Linked DNA regions of Diceros bicornis minor. The protein of the gene in region 2 binds, or shares a complex with, the protein of the main gene of each other region. Links are inferred from orthologs where the notes say so. Each region holds a gene or a part of one and is shown on either strand. Other genes may lie near its edges.

Region 1 (7,153 bases), on a different chromosome or scaffold from region 2:
GAACTAAAGGTGGTGAGTCAGGGGTGGGGGCCCAGGGCACGGATCCGTGATTGGGGTTGGGGCCCAGCCAGCAGCTGGGGGCCATTGCTGGAGGCTGACTCGGGCTTTAGAGTCAGGTGGGTCTCGGTTCAGATCCTAACTTTGTCGTTTGCTAGATGTGCAACCTGACTGGGGCAGAGGACTTTCCCTCCCTGAGTCGCAGTTTCCTCATCTGTCATGTGGAAATAATAACAGCATTTCCTCTCCAGTTTTTTTTTTTTTTTTTTTTGAGAATTGGTTACCAGTGACGAGCTAAGCACACTGCCTGGTTTATATTAAGCACTTGGTTGGTGTGTAGGTGTGTGTTTTTTACCCAGATGTGTGTGCTGGGGGTCCTCTCCAGGTTCTAGTGGCAGGAGGCTGGAGACACCATCCCCGCAGGTCCCGTCCTCACCTGCCAGTGGGTGGCACCTACCTTTCTGGGGGCACATCCTCAGGGGCTCTCTCCTCTTCTATGTCTGTCCTGGGGTTGTCAGGCTCTCCTATGGGGTCCCCCTCCACTGCTGGGGGGTTGGGTCCCACTGCTGGGGTGTCCTCCAAGGGAGCATCGGTCCCCACCACCATTTCCTTGGCTGCCTCCAAGCCGGGGGGGTCAGGCAGATCTTGGGGCACCAGATGGGGCTCAGGGTCCACCTCCTGGGCCTTCTCGGAGGCCTGTCTTGATGCCGCCTTCTTGATGCTGGGGCGAGGCATGGTGCCCATGTGGCTGTACATGTCACTGGAGCGGGCATAGGCTGGGGGGCTCTTGGGTACTGTCACCATGTCATCCTGTGTGGCCTCAAAGGTGTCAGGCTTCAGATGGGACTGGATACTGGTGGGGGCCGAGGACCGTCTCAGAGTGAAGGACCGAGAGAGGTTGGAGAGACTCCCAAGGCCCTTGAACTTGAAGAACTCTGGCAAGGGGGAAGAGGAGGGAAAGGAGTTAATGACGATTCCAGCAGCAACACTAGTAATAACAGTAAAAAGTGTGTGCAGTTCCACTCATTGAGGGTTCAAGGAGGGTGAGGGCTTCACTGACACTCTCTCTAATTATTGTGGTAGCCCTGGGCTTGAATTCCTGCTCTTTCACATCCTAGCTGTGTGACCTTAGGCAAGTCACTTGACCTCTCTGAGCCCCATTCTCCACGTCAGTAAAATAGAGATTATAGTACCCACCTCCTATGAGCAGTGGGAGGATTGAAGAAAAGCATGTAAGTTACATGCTTAACATGGTGCCTGGCACAGAGAATATCCTCCATAAGAAGTAATGAAGATGATGATGATGGTGGTGATCACAATAAATACCTCTGCATTTGTCAGACGTGCTCCATGCACTACCTCACTGAATTCTCAGCACAACTCAATGACACAAGTTTAATCGCCCATTTTTCAGATGGGGAAACTGAGGTTCAGAGTGGTGAAATGAACTGCCCGAGGTCACACGGCCGGTGGGTGAAGCAGGTATGTGTGTGTGCATGTGTGCATGTGTGCATGTGTGTGTTGGGGCTGGGAGGTGGTGTTTGAGCAAGCCTCTGTGCACCGGGGGTGGAGTGGAAATGAGAAGGGGGTTGTCGGGAGCCTGAGGGTCCCACTTCCTGTGGTTTTGTCCTTCCTGTCAGCTGAGCCCAGGTCCTGGCTCTGGTGGCAGTGCTCGGGTGATACCATCTCCTCGCTTCCGCAGGGGTGCCTGTGAGTTCCCTCCTCCCCTCCCCCAGCTGTAGGACAGCCCCTCCTCGCAGCCGCCACCATCTGACTTCCCTGCTGCCTCCAGATGAGGAAAAAGGAAAAAGCCTGGCATTTTCCACTCTCTGGGCGCCCTCTGCCTCCTCAGGTCCTCACAACCACACTGGAATATAGGTAGGATGCTCGCGTTTGACAAGAGAGGAAACTGAGGCCCAGAGGGGGGAAGAGACTTGCCCAGAGTCACACAGCAGGGCTGAGCCCGGTCGAGGGCCCAGGGCCCTGGACTGCTGGGTCAGTGCTCTGGGCTTTCCTCTCGGCCCTGCCCACCCTCACCTGGTCTTAGCCTCTGCCTCCTGACAACACTGTCAGAAAATGCAGATGCTCTGCTCTTAGAAAGCTATACCATGGGGCAGGAGCTGTGCCAGTGGCCAGGAGGAGGACCACAAACTGCCTCCTTTCTCAGCACCACTTGTTTTGTCTCCTGGGTACCAGGGGTCTAGAAGAAACAATAGTTGGGTAGGGAGGGAAACTGAGGCCCAGAGTCCAGGGACATGGGATTGAGCCCTGCTCTATAGCCCCATATGATCTCAGGCAAGGCTCTGGGCCTCAGTATTTCCATCTGCAGAATGCAGTCAAAATCCTTGCCCTGTACACACACCTCCCCTCCCCCACCCTGTGCTGGCGGATCCAAGGAGTCAGGGGAAGCAGAAGTTTGCGGGGACCAGGAGGAGACCAACCAGGGCAAACAGTGGCGGGTGGGTGTGGCCCCTCGGCTAGATGCTCTGGGCTCTTTCCCCACCCGGATGCTCGGTCCCAGCGTCACAGCCCCACTGCTGGTGGGAATGTGGGACAGCATCCATGGCACCCTTCGGCCCTGGCCCCAGTAACGCCCAACCTGAAACCCCGTGTGAACCAGGCGCAGAGACAGGGGGTGAAATGTGTGAAGGTCTTCCCTTACCCAGCCGTGAGGTCAGGGAGAGCCAGAGATGGACATGCAGAGGGACACACAGACGAATGGAGAGACTGAGAGGTGGGGTGGGGAGAGACAGAGAAAAAGAGATGTGCAGAGACAGAGTCAAGAGAAGCACAGAGATGGAGAGCTGAACCAGCTGGAGAGAGAGAGAGACTGGGCCAGAGACATGGAGAGATGGTGACATGGAGAGATGGTGACATGGAAACCCAGGAGCAGAGACCTCTGGAGAGAGACAGAGATGGACAGAAAGAGAAACAGAAAGGAGACGAAGGGACGAAGAGGCGGATGCAGAGAGAGGCTGAGATGGACAGAGAGGGACGAAGGACAGTGCCAACAGCACCCCGCACTTACTGAACTTTTTGCTGGCCTTCTTGGGCCCCTCCGTCATCTTGGCAGGTCGTGCAAAGCCCCTGGCCTGCTGGCGAGTAGTCGCTCGAGGCTCTGGACATCAGCGTTGAGATGCCTCCCTCACCTCCCCTTCCCCTTTCTCGCGTCCTCTCACTCGCTTCCTCTGTGTATTTTTAAACCAGTGAAACTCCCACAGCCCCACCCTCCTCATTCTGTCCGCAGGGGCGGGGGCCGCGGCCTCCCCCAGTCCCGGCCCCTGTGGGCCACCTCCTTGGCCTCAGCAGCGGGGCGCAGGGGGCAGACCACAAGCCCGTGGGACCTGGAAGGTCTGGGGAACAAACCACAGGCTCCGGGAACGGAGCCCACTGGGCCGGGGGCCGCTGGGGACCTGCCAACAGCTGTCAGGGGGTCTGGCCAGGGGGCTGGGAGGGTGCGGGGAGTCAGGCCTGCGCGCAGGGCAGTTTATTCTAAGCCTCAGTGCTGGGGGGACGCACTGGTGGTGGTGGATGGGAGAGTGCTGTGGTTAGGCCTGTGGGCTCTGGGACCACCCAGACCCAATTTCAAGTCTTGGACAGCCACTTTGTCACTGTGTGATCCTGGACTAGGGAACTCACCTCCCTGTGCCTCAGTTTCCTCCTGTGAACAGACGGTGTGTGCAATGCCCCCCTCACGGGGTCCAGGGCTTGGTGGAAAGCCTGGCATGGAATCGGTGCCCACCAAGGCATGGTCACTGCTCTTCAAGCTGGCAAGGACACAGTGGTAATTTGGTCTACCACACCCATTTTACAGAGATAGGGAAATCGAGGCACAGACGGGCAGAAGGATTGCCCCAGCTCACACAGCAGATTGGTGGCACAGACTGGGTTCCAACTTGCCCTTCCAGGTCCCTTAACTCAGGGCCTGGGACTTTTCCACCCTACAACCTTCTCGTGTGTGTGTGTGTGTGTGTGTGTGTGTGTGTGTGTGTGTGTAGGCACACTCACGTGGGCAGGACAGAGATGAGGAAATGAAACCTCCCAAGACAGGTTGTCCCAGACACCTGCGGAGGCTGTCAGCAGCTGCTCGGCTTGGGGGAGCCGCAAGACCAGGGGCTTCAAATCCCAGCTCTGAGCGCTGTGGACAAGTTACTTCCGCTCTGAAGCCTCAGTCACCTAACCTCTAGAAAGGGCTCAAGTGCAAGGGACGCAGTCAACCCGCAGAGGCTCCAGCAGGATCGGACCTTGTCATCCTGGCAACCGAGGCTGTGACAGAGTGAGTCCAAGGTCAGATGGGGCCCTTCCTGCATCCCCTACAAGAATAATGACGATTAACATCTTCTGATCACTTAGTATGTTCCAGCCACAGGGCTCAGTCCTTCTGCCCTAAGAGGTAATGTCATTACTTTTGTTCCCATTCTACAGATGTAGAAATCGAGGCCCCGAAAAGTCCAAGTTAACTGGAATTGGAACCTGCTTGTCCAGCTGTGGGGCCTGAGGGCCTACCTTCCACGCCCACAGCTCCCAAAAGCCCCTAGCAGCTGGATGATGGATTTTGGTGGGGGAGGGGTCTGGCTGAACCTTCTTGAAGGGATGAGACGGAACCCGAGGCCCTGAGAGGGACACAGCCCATGAGACTGAGGCAGCAGGGTCCTGCTTACAGACCAGTCTGGATGGGACCAGTATTCAAAGTTCAAATGAAAAGGATGGGGTTTCTGGACCAAGGACTTGGGAGGAAAAAGGGGAATGACTCCAGATCCTTCTGCTGAGCCCTGACCATGAGCCAAGGATGGAGCTAGAAGCCTCTACAGATCGTCCATTGAATCCTTACAACAGACCTGTGAGGTGAATCCTGGTGTGTCCCATTTCACAGATGAAACTGAGGCTGAAGAGGAACAGAGACCCAGGTATTCTAACTCCTATCTCTGGGTTGTTGTCAGAAGAGGGAGAGGGGCCTGTGGCCTGGTGGTAGCTGGGGGTCTTCTTAGTGGAAGGCAAGGGGTAGGTCCCCCAGCTTCTTCCCAGGAGGCAGTCCAGGGACTTGGGCTAGCTTCCCAGCCAGGGCCACTCACAACTTGCTTTGTGATCCTTCACAAGAGACTTTACCTCTCTGGGTCTCAGTTTTCTCATCTGTGAAATGGGGTCACAGTTGCCCCCACTTCCTGGGAGGATGAAAGGAGCAAATGTTGGCCCAGGCCAGTGCACTGTGGCCTCAGCAAACCCTGGACTAGGGAACGGCGGCTGTTGCTGAGGGATGGGGGTGGTTCAGGCCAGGAGCAGACTGGCACTGGCCAGGAACACCCCGGAGCAGGCGCATGGCGTGAGAGCCGGGAGTCCTAGCCCCGGCCCCGGCGCGGCTGTGTTGCCGTGGTGGAGGTGCCTTGTCAGTGCTAGGCTGGCCCTGCCGTTGGCCCGGGCGCCAGGGCAGTTGCCGCGTCCCTGGGAGGATGAATGGGGCTCAGTGTGGCGGCTCCGCTGAGCTGAGAGCCCCCTTTGTGCTGCCTTGAGTGGCCGTTGGGAGTGCGGCTGGGGACCTGCTGGCGGGTGGCTGTCCCGCGGGCCCTCCTCAGCCTGCGCTGGAGGCCAGCCCAGCCCAGTCCACGCTCTGCAGCCCTGAACACACAAGTGCCTTCCTGCCCCCAGGTCTTTGCTTGCGCTGGACCCACACCTGGATGCTACTCTTCCCTCCACTGGCTCCATCTTTTGCTTCCATGGAGTCTCTGCAGGTCTAGAATGAGCCATAGTGTCCCCAGGAACCCTGCTCTGATTTCTGTCCCCTCCGTCCTTGCCCCTCTCCCTCAGTCTATGCCTCAGTTGCCTGGTTTGGCCAGGAACCATTAGGATTGGAGACCTTCAAGTTCATAGTCAAAGGCATTGGCCCAGGCAGACCTGAGTCCAGACCCCACCTGCATGACCTTGGGGAAGTGACATCACTTCTCTGAGCCTCGTTTTTCCCATCAGTAAAATGGAACAAATACAACATCTTCACATGATCCTGTAGCGATGAAATAAAACATTTGTACTGAGAGTGTCATCCACGTTACAGACACTTTGTTTTCATGGCATGTTCCAAGCAGACCTCATGCTCCCTGAGAGAGAAACTAGCCTTATGCATCCACACTGGCCCCGTGCCTACTATGCTCTTGGTCTCAGTCGATGCCTTTCCCCAGCTCGACCCAGTTGTCTGTCCTGGGGGCGGTGTAGGATGATGGTAAATGACCCTGGGCTTTGAGAGCAAAGAGACCTGGCTTTGAATCCCAGCTGCAGAGCTTCCTGGCTGTGTGGCCTTGGGCAGGCCTCTTTACCACTCTGAGCCTTAGTTTCCTCTTCTGTAACTTGGGCCCAATAATAGCAACCTCCTAACAGGAGTGCTGGAAAGTTCCAGGAGGATGACACATATCAACACTGCCAGGCACAGAGTCAGTACCTGGCTGATGTGGGCAGAACATCATGGTGTTACAGGGCTCAGGGCATCACACAGCCATGCTCAGTCCTGAATCTCTATCCAGTGACCCCTTGTCCCCCAGATGTATGAGCAGCCAAGAGTAGCCCACCCATGAGCCTGTCTTCTCCTTCCCTCCATATGCCCCATCCTGTCTCTGCTCAGGGGAGGAAAATCGAGAGTTCAGGCCAGGGTCAAACAGCTGGCTAGTGGCTCCCGTTCGTACTCCGTGCCTCAGTTTCCCTACGTGTTAAATGGCAGCAGGACCAGGCGCTCTCTCAGAGCCTGGCCAGCCAGTCAGCAAACATTTACTGAGTACTGGCCAGGTGCCTGGCCTTGCCAGCTTAGCCAATCCATGGGGCAGGAACTATTTCCCCCGAACCAGCCAATCAGATGTCAAAGTCAGAGAGAAATTGTCTCTGGCCAGGACCTAACTTCTCACTTCCACGTGGGCGATCTGGGCCCCAGGCCTGGGCAGCCTGGGCAGCTTTCCGGAGGGCTCCGGACCACTCCTGCCTGCCTCCCTCCATCGGGCAGGGCTGAGGGCCTGAGGCTCCAAGGGGAAGTGACTGGCGGATGTTGGGGTTCAGACCAGGGATGGCAGGGTGGAGGTGATGACACCACCGGAACCCTCTGCTGAGGCGTCTGCCCACAGGATGTGACTTAGGGAGGCTCGTGGGAAACAGGCAGGGGCCCCAGCCTGAAAGTTTCAGG
Region 2 (8,046 bases):
TGGCCAAACTCAGCCATGGCGGAAGTTCAGTTTGTGGGGGCCAGGGGTCCCCCTTATACACGCCTGAATCCCCGGAATCTATGACTAGGTTACCTTACAAGGCAAGAAGTGCTTTGCAGGTATGATTAAATTAAAGATCATGAGATGGGGAGATTTTCTTGGATTATCTGAATGGGTCCAGTGTCATCACAAGGTTCTTATAAGAGGGAGTCAGGAGTGCCAGAGTCAGAGAAGGAGATGAGATGATGGAAGCAGAGGTCAGAGTGATGTGGGGCCACAAAAACGGGCCAAAGAATGCAGGCGGCCTCTAGAAGTTTAAAAAGGCAAGGAAAGGGAATCTCCCCTCGAGCCTCCAGAAGGACTGCAGCCCTGTCAACTCATTTTGGATATCTGACTTCCAGAACTGTAGGATCAATTTGTGCTGTTCTACACCACTAATTTTGTAGTAATTTGTTACAGCAGCAATAAGAAATTAATGCATCTCCCCGCTGCCACCACGTCCTGAAGCCCCACTGTCTAAGGGACGATGGTTTCCTTCTGCACCCAGCAGCCTGATGACCTGAACATTACTCCCTCCCCTAAGCAGATGCCCCCCAGGCAGAGTATACCCAAGGTTCTGTGCATGAGGGACAGCCAGGGAGGTGCCCTGCCCCAGCCCCCAGGACCCACCTTCAAGAGACTGTGAAATTACCCTCAAGGATGTTGGAAACTGGGCTTATTTAAGGTCATGAAGTAAGCGTGCAGTAGTGCCAGGACCAAGGCCTAGCTTGGCAGGTCAGTGGGTTCCCCATTCACTCCACTCAGCTGAGCTTCTCTCTCTTGCCAGTCTGACTTGCCTTCCTGGGGAGAGGTAGTCATTAACACTTTAGAATGAGTAAGACAGGACATCTGGCTCTGGGTACTCCCCCACCTGTCAATATGGTGTTACTACAGAGTAGTAGAGCTTGAATCTCATGTTGAAAACCAGGCTTGGGGTGGGTAGTTCCCTTGCTCATCCACTCCAGAGCTCACAGGGTCCTGTCAGCCACCCCCAACCGTGAAGTCTCCCTCTAGGTCTTCCAGAAACAAACTCAGTTCTTGCCCTCTGAGGGAGGTGCTTAACCACACCTGGCTCATGTGTGTGGCAATGATGGCCCCTGCTGTTTCATAAGCAAGGATTCTAGTGCCCTGAACTTTACCTGAGTCATTCAACCGAATCCTTTCAACCACTCAGGGAGTTTTCCCTCTCAATTCACAGATGAGAAAACCGAGACCCTGGCAGGTTAACTCACATGTGCAAGATCATTCAGCTGCCAGGAGCAGAGCAGGATTCAAACCAGGTCTGACTGCAGAGCCCAGAGCTGCCTGGGGTTGGCCTGCAAAAGAATTTCGTTTTGGCTTACTCAGTCAATGGTTCAAAATCAAGAGATTTTATAAAACAATCTAGATTTCTAGATGCTCTTGAAAAAATCTGATTCACCAACTGAAAGAACTCCCAACAGCCAAAGCAGGAACAATTGGAGCAAGAAAATAAAGTAGTATTGGATTATAATCCAGACTACAAAATAAATATCCACAAGTTCATACTAATATAAATAAATGATTGAATAAATAAATAAATGGAGAAGAGACAAATTTCCCATACAGAAGAATTCCAAATAATTTATATAGATATTCCATCCTCAAGGAGGAACATAACTCCACTCCTTCCAAAGAGTACAGTATAGAAAGTGGGGGAAAAAAGAGTAAGTTGATAGTGGAGAAACCTGACAAACACTGTCTCAGCCAGGTGATCAAGGTCAACATCAACAGAGATAAGTCCTGTTGATAGTATGTATCCTTGATATGATGTGATGAGAAGGGCCTTTTACCTTTGTGATCTTCTTCCTAAAAAACCATAACCGCAGTCTAACCATGAGAAAAACATCGCACAAACCCCAACTGAGGGACAGCCTGTAATATCCCTGACCAGTACTCCTCAAAACTGTCAAGATCATCAAAAACAAGGAAAGTCTGAGAAACTGTCATAGCCCAGAGGAGCCTAGGGAGATGTGATGCCTAAATGTAATGTGGGATTCTGGATGAGATCTTGGAACAGAAAAAGGACAGTAGGGAAAACCTAAGGCAATGTGAGTAGAGTATGGACATTAGTTAATAAGGATGTATCAATGTTGGTTCATCAATGGTGACAGATGCACCATGCTAATGTAGGATTATGACACAGTGCCCACAGGTGCTTCCAAAGGCTCAGGGCATTCTCCTGGGCCAGGGGCCCCTCTGCCAGAGCGGTCCCCAGTTACCCTGGGAGGCAGAAGGAGAAGAAGCCACCTCCCAGGCCTCAGCCCCTCTAGATGCAGCAAGGCCCAGGGAACAGAGGCCAGGCTTGAGTGTTTGGAGAACTGGGTGTGAAGCTTGTCTCTGCCCAGATTTACTCTGTGGCCATGTCCAAATTCCCTTCCCTCCCAGTGCCAGGGACAACAATAACCCCTGTCTCCCTGGGGCCCTGGTCATCCCTCAAGGACCCTCTCAGGGGCTGGTGCCTGCTCAGGCCTCCCAGCTGTTACTTCTGGTGTGAACTGCTAGTCGTGAGGCCCCCAGAGCCTGTTCTCTGCAGGACTGAGTAAGTCATCCTGGGATCATTTGCCTGCTGGAGAGTAGGGGATGCAGGCAAGTGGTGAGAGGAGAGAGGAGCATCTGCTGCTTTCATAGACACCTGGTACTTGTTCAGGGGAGGGCGCTCAGTGCCCTGACGGGGCTCCTCTGGCTGCCCCCAACCCAATACCCAAGGCCCTGGGTCCCTGCATCAGAGTAAGTGAGGGTCTGGCCAGGGAACCTTCTTTCTGCACTAAAAGATGAGTTAGTGATGCCCTCCCTGAGTGAGCAGCCGTAAGCAGTTGTTGGGGGTCAGTTGGAGGCAAGGACTAGGTGGTTTGGAGGTCATGGCCCCAGCTGCACCCCTACCCTGGGTTTCCATTTCCCTGTGCCCAGCAGTGTGGAAGGGGTCTTTCCCCGCTGTTCAACCAGTTCTGGCAGGAGCATCTAGAGATGGGGCCGATGGGAGAGAAGACAGAAACAGTGGACGAAAAGAATCCAGCCAAAGTAGGAGAGGAGGGAGGAGGAGCCTGAGTGCCAGGAGGCAGGCTTAGTGAGGGAGGGGGCCAGCATGGCAGTGGGGGCCTCTGGGGCAGCGGCCGTGTGTGGCTGGGAGCCCGGGTGCCAGGCTGAGCTGCTGCTCACAGCTCAGGAGCCCCTGTGCCAGCTGGATGCGGGCGGGTGGGCACGGGCAGGGCTGCCTGCCAGACACATACAGAGCGCCCTTTGAGGAGGTGGCAGCTGTCGGCCCAGACCCCCCTCTGCTTGCTGTGGCCCTGCCTGCCCCCTCCAACAATGCCTTGCCGAGCACTGGGCTGGGGAAAGTGAGGTACACAATTGGGAACCCCCACTCAAGGGGTAAAGGGGGGCAATGCTGCTCAGTTGGAGCAGGGAGGGACCCCAGCTCATCAGTCCTAGAACCAGGACCTGGGCCTCATGGCAGCTCTCAATTTCCCCCTTTCTTGCACATCTAGTACCCCTCTCACTGCTGGTGGCCGCTGTTAGGACTCTCCCCAGGACCCGCCAGGAGAAAGACCAAGGGACCCTACCTCTTGGGGAGGAAGACTGGAAAGCCTCCAAAACCCCAAAAGATGATCTGCAAATGGGAGATTTTGAGAGCTAGGGAGCTGGGGGCCAGACCTGGGTCTCTGGGGAAGCCCACTTGGCACCTGTCACTGCTTCCTCCTTCTGCTCAGTCACCTTAGGCCTCCTGGCACTGCACACTTGGCAGGTGAAAGAGCCTGCACCCTGGGCACCTGCCCCTACAGACTTCCTAGGGGGCTGGAGCTGTCTGTCTGTCCCCCAGGTCCCTACCATTAGCCACAGCTGCTGCCAGCCAGCCTCATGGAACTGGCTCTGTCTTTCTTCCTCTGGGTGGGCAGCAGTGTCCACTGCCCTGGCCCCTGGAACCCTGGTCTAGGTGCTCACTCATTCTCTCTGGGCAGTAGCAGCCATTTCCCCTGTCTGGCTTTGCCCAGGAAGGGCCCCCAGGGAGCAGGGACAGCCTGTATGTGGTGGGCAGCAGAACAGAGTGGTCAGCGTTCTGCCTTCTAGTAGCTGAGGGATATCAGAGCTAGTCTGTTAAATGTAACATGTGAACAGCAAAGCCTACCTAGCAGGGGGGTGGGGAAATTAGGACGCACATGTATGTGCCCCCTGCCTGTGGGTAAGGTGCCTGGACACCATGTCAGATGTGGAACAGCTGAAGAAATTGGGGATATTTAACCTTGGGAAAGGAAAGCTCTGGCGGCTAATGCCTGTCTTCCAGTGTCTGAGGGCTGGCCCCTGGCACAGGGACGGCTTGGTTGTGGGTGGGCCGATGAGTGGGGGTTACCAGGAGACAGGATCCTCCCTAAAAGCCAGTCCATCTCTGACTGTCAGGGTGACCCGACAATGAGTCAGGCTGTTCCCAGGGAGTCGGGAGCTCCCTATCCCTGGGGGAGGGGCAGTGGGGGGAGCGCAGAGCAGGCAGAGGAACTCTGGGCAGGGCTGCGTTGGGAGTACCGGGGGTCTCTGGGCTTTCAGCCAGGGAGTGGGAAGGGTTCCTAGGAGCCGTGTTCGGCTGACCTGCAATCGCCTTCAGACACAGGGACTGGGAGCCCGGCCAGGACCACAGGGCAGGCTCCCAGCACCCTGGGCTGGGCAAAGCGGGGGGTAGGGGTTCTGGTCTCCAGAACCGGTTGGGTGAACAGGAGATGGTGCGACTCAAGGTGGCCCTTGAAGGATGCGTAAGGGGCGTAGACCGAGCCTCCTCGCCCCGTTGGGCCGACAGAAAACTGCCGGGGTCCAGGGTCCTCGCCTTTAACGCGGCCCCCGGTGGAGGAGACGGGAGGGGGAGGGGCGGCGTGGGGCGGCGCATGCGCGGCGGGGGCTGGAGCGGCTGGAGCGGCCGGACCGTCCGGCCGCCGGGAGCCAGCGGGAGCCCGCGGGGACCCGGACAGCCCCGGACCCCGCGCGGGGGCTCTGAGCTGCGCGGCGGACCGGAGCCCCCAGCCTGCCGGCGTCGCTGCCCGCCCGGGCCCCGGGAGCGGCGGCCAAGATGTCTGTGCCGGTGAGTACCGACCGCCGGCTGGGACCCGGGGTCTGCTGCCCCCGGCCGGGCCTGCGACCTCGCGCCGCGCGCTGAAGGCCTAATGCCGCTGGGGCTCCCGGGCTGGGGGGCGCCCCACCTGGGCCTTCTCGGGCCGGGGATGCGGGCAGGTGGGGGCGTCTCCCCCAAGCCGGCCTCTCTGCCCCTGCCTTTCTTTTCATCCTCTCCCTAGAGAGTCGGGTCGGGCTGGGCTCCGTGCTGTTCTCTCAGGGAGCCCCCCGGAAAGGCTGGGTTGGCAGGTTCTTTGTTGGCCCCCGGGGAACCCCTGGGATAGCTGGGCCAGGCAGGAGTCCGTGTAGTCCCTCAGGACCTCCTCCCCCACCAGGATGGCCAGGCCTAGTGGGGAGAGGTCTATGCTGCTCCCCAAGACCCCCCCACCCAGGACGGCTGATGCACTCACTTTCTCGGGAAGTTTTCCTCTGCCGCTGAACCCCAGGGCGCCGGGCCTGGCCCCTCCCTGCTTCTTAGCCAGGGGGCTTCTCTTCTCACCTAACACCCCCTCTGCCTGGCCCAGCAGGCAGGCTTGGGCAGCCCCCAGGCCTGGCTCCACACTTAGGCCAGCATCTGGAGGCATCTGGGTCCCACCTCCTGAGGGGAACAAGTGATCCTGGCTACCCCTGTCAGGAGGCCTCAGGTCCAGGCCCCAGTCAATGCCCGCTTTACAGATGGACAGACTGAGGTGGGGGCTGAAACGCTGCATCCTGCCTGGGAGGGGCGCCCTCTGCAGGCTGGAAAGCTGTGGCCTCTAGCCATTGTTTCACTGCTGAGTTAGGGGCTTTTCCCTCTGACAGCAAGGGGCGGTGGGCCAGGGCGCCCCTCTACCTGGCCTTGTTTCTGGAACTGCTCCTCACCTAGGGAACCTGATCCTTATGTTGAAGCAGACAGTTGGGGCTTCCTGGCAGGGTGAGTGGCTTCTTAATTAACCACCATAGAGTGTGTGGAGATTACTGGAGGAGAGATGCTGTGTAAGTGCGAAGCATTGTTATTATGGAATTAAAGATCCCGGCTCCTGCCTGCCTCCAGAAGCGGTAATGCAGAGTTACAGATGAAGAAATTAGGGCTTCCAGACCGTGCCGATGTGACCCCCCCATCTGTTCTGGTTCAGAGCATAATTGCCTCATCTTTAGAAAGAAAGAAAGAAGACAGAAAATGCCTGCCAACCCCTTCTTCTCTCCTGCTCTGCTTTATTGCAAAACTCTGGATCTCTTCTGGCCCGAGGACCTGCCCTGACCCTGTGGGCACTGGCCGGAGGGACAAGGTGGACCACCTGAGTCTGCTTGAGGTCCTGGGTCTCCAGGGCAGTGGTGAACAGGGAATGTGACTGAGGCCACATCAGAGCCTGGACGGGCCTCAGTTTGGGAGGTCAGCCATTGATTGGTTTGGTTGTCCCCAGTCACAGCAGAGATCTGGACATGGAGTCTGGGGTGGCAACCAGACCCCTTGCCTTGTAGGACTTTGGTAGCCTTCCTGGGCTGTGTGCCTCAGTGGCCCCATCTGTAACAAGCGAGGGATGGCGGGAGGGCCAGGGTCTGGCTGTGACTTGGACAGACAGGCACTGCTGTGGAGACTTGCAGCCAATGTCTGCTCGGTCTGTCCACACCATTGCCAGCTCCGAGTCACTGCCCACCTTCCCACCTGCAGCCACAGCCCTCAGTGATTCTGCAGGGGGTGGGGGTGGGGATGTCTCACCATCTGCCCCCTACGTGGCTGGCTGTCAGATCATCCTGGCTCTCTCCTGAGACCTTGGGCAGCGTGTGAGCTGATGGGGCTGGGAGGAGAAGTTCATTTTTGGAGCAGCCGTGAAATGTTTGAAAAATTGCTTTCATGTGCTGGTGAGTGGTGAGGCCCCTTGGAGGCTTCCACGCCACGCCCTGCTCTTGGAACCGAGAATGGTGATTGCCCATATGGTGCTCAGGACACATTGGGTTTTAAGCACACCCGTTCATTTGGGCAATCTTTTCCTGGATGGGGCTGACGCAGGCACTTTGGCCCACAGAAATTACAGGATACTTCAGAATGGAATGGGAGGTGATGGCGGGGACAGAAGAGGTTGGGATGGGCCAGGTTGAGCCAGGAGTGACTTCCTGAGTGTTAGAACAGGGGCACCCTCCAGGGATCAGCTGGTCTCACAGGAGGTCTTGGGCCCAGAGAGGGGAGGGCACACAGGCTCCTCCTGACTCCCTGCTCAGTGCTCCTTCCTCTACCCTGAGCTGAGGGCAGTGCTCACGCAGCACCTGGAGACGCACTTCCTGACTGTTCTCTGACATCTGCCTTCCTCTTGGGCATGACCATCTGGCGCCCCAGGCCTGTCTCTTCTCTCTGGGCAGGCAGGAAGCATTCGAAAGGAAAACGGCTGTGCCACCCACTTCAGACCCCTGGTGGGCATTGGCATGATCTGTGTTTAGGAGTGACAAATGCTGGCTGTCCCCTGGCACTATCAGGCCAGAAGTTCCTTGCTGTCTGTTCCTGCCTCTTGTTTCCTGTCTGTGAAATGGGCACAGCCATTCCAGCCCCTCCTCTGCTCCTTTATTGAGTGAGGGACGGGTCCTTTCAAGGAGTGAAGGTGCTGACGTGTGTGGAGTGCCAGGCACTGGGCTCAGGACGTCACAGCCTCAGGGAGGACCTGTGTCTTGCCAGGGTTGCATGGCCACTGAGAGATGGAGCCAGGGTGGGAACCAAGTTGGGCAGGATCCAAAGCCTGAAAGTGAGCGTCGCCCTGCGTGGTCTCTCTAATTGTGGGGGCTGTGGCCTGTAGAGCCGTCCACAGAGGCCAACCTCGCTGAGGGACCGACCCTCTTCTTGTGGCTTTCCAAGCATGAGTTTGTGTAACCCCTTCGGCACCCCTGGGAGATGAGGCAGTGGGAGTGCAGAGAGGCCAGGCAGCT

The links. Proteins that work in one complex are often made in the same cells at the same time.
Region 1: the proteins of BCAR1 (region 2) and SH2D3C are in contact, whole or in part, in a crystal structure (PDB 3T6G), measured with the Homo sapiens proteins. The link is inferred for Diceros bicornis minor from reciprocal best matches to the Homo sapiens genes BCAR1 and SH2D3C. Residues at the interface, in NP_055382.2 of Homo sapiens: Ser739, Gln742, Phe746, Tyr747, Gln750, Asn754, Val779, Ser782, Lys783, Ile786, Leu787, His790, Val793, Phe794, Ile795, Asp797, Thr798, Arg801, Gln802, Ser816, Asn817, Cys820, Leu823, Arg824, Val827, Lys831; in NP_733745.1 of Homo sapiens: Thr543, Val544, Pro545, Val547, Gly616, Val617, Arg618, Glu622, Thr625, Leu626, Pro627, His628, Leu749, Leu752, Leu753, His771, Gly772, Val773, Glu774, Val776, Leu777, Leu780, Glu781, Ala783, Arg784, Ala787, His788.

Annotation. Positions count from the first base shown.
Region 1 is NC_080767.1:35,781,371-35,788,523, forward strand, and holds the start of SH2D3C (SH2 domain-containing protein 3C), read right to left. Parts: upstream 3,192-7,153; 5' UTR 3,063-3,191; coding exon 3,026-3,062; intron 933-3,025; coding exon 455-932; intron 1-454. UniProt on the Homo sapiens protein: Acts as an adapter protein that mediates cell signaling pathways involved in cellular functions such as cell adhesion and migration, tissue organization, and the regulation of the immune response.
Region 2 is NC_080771.1:25,786,085-25,794,130, reverse strand, and holds the start of BCAR1 (breast cancer anti-estrogen resistance protein 1), read left to right. Parts: upstream 1-5,011; 5' UTR 5,012-5,110; coding exon 5,111-5,122; intron 5,123-8,046. UniProt on the Homo sapiens protein: Docking protein which plays a central coordinating role for tyrosine kinase-based signaling related to cell adhesion. Implicated in induction of cell migration and cell branching. Involved in the BCAR3-mediated inhibition of TGFB signaling.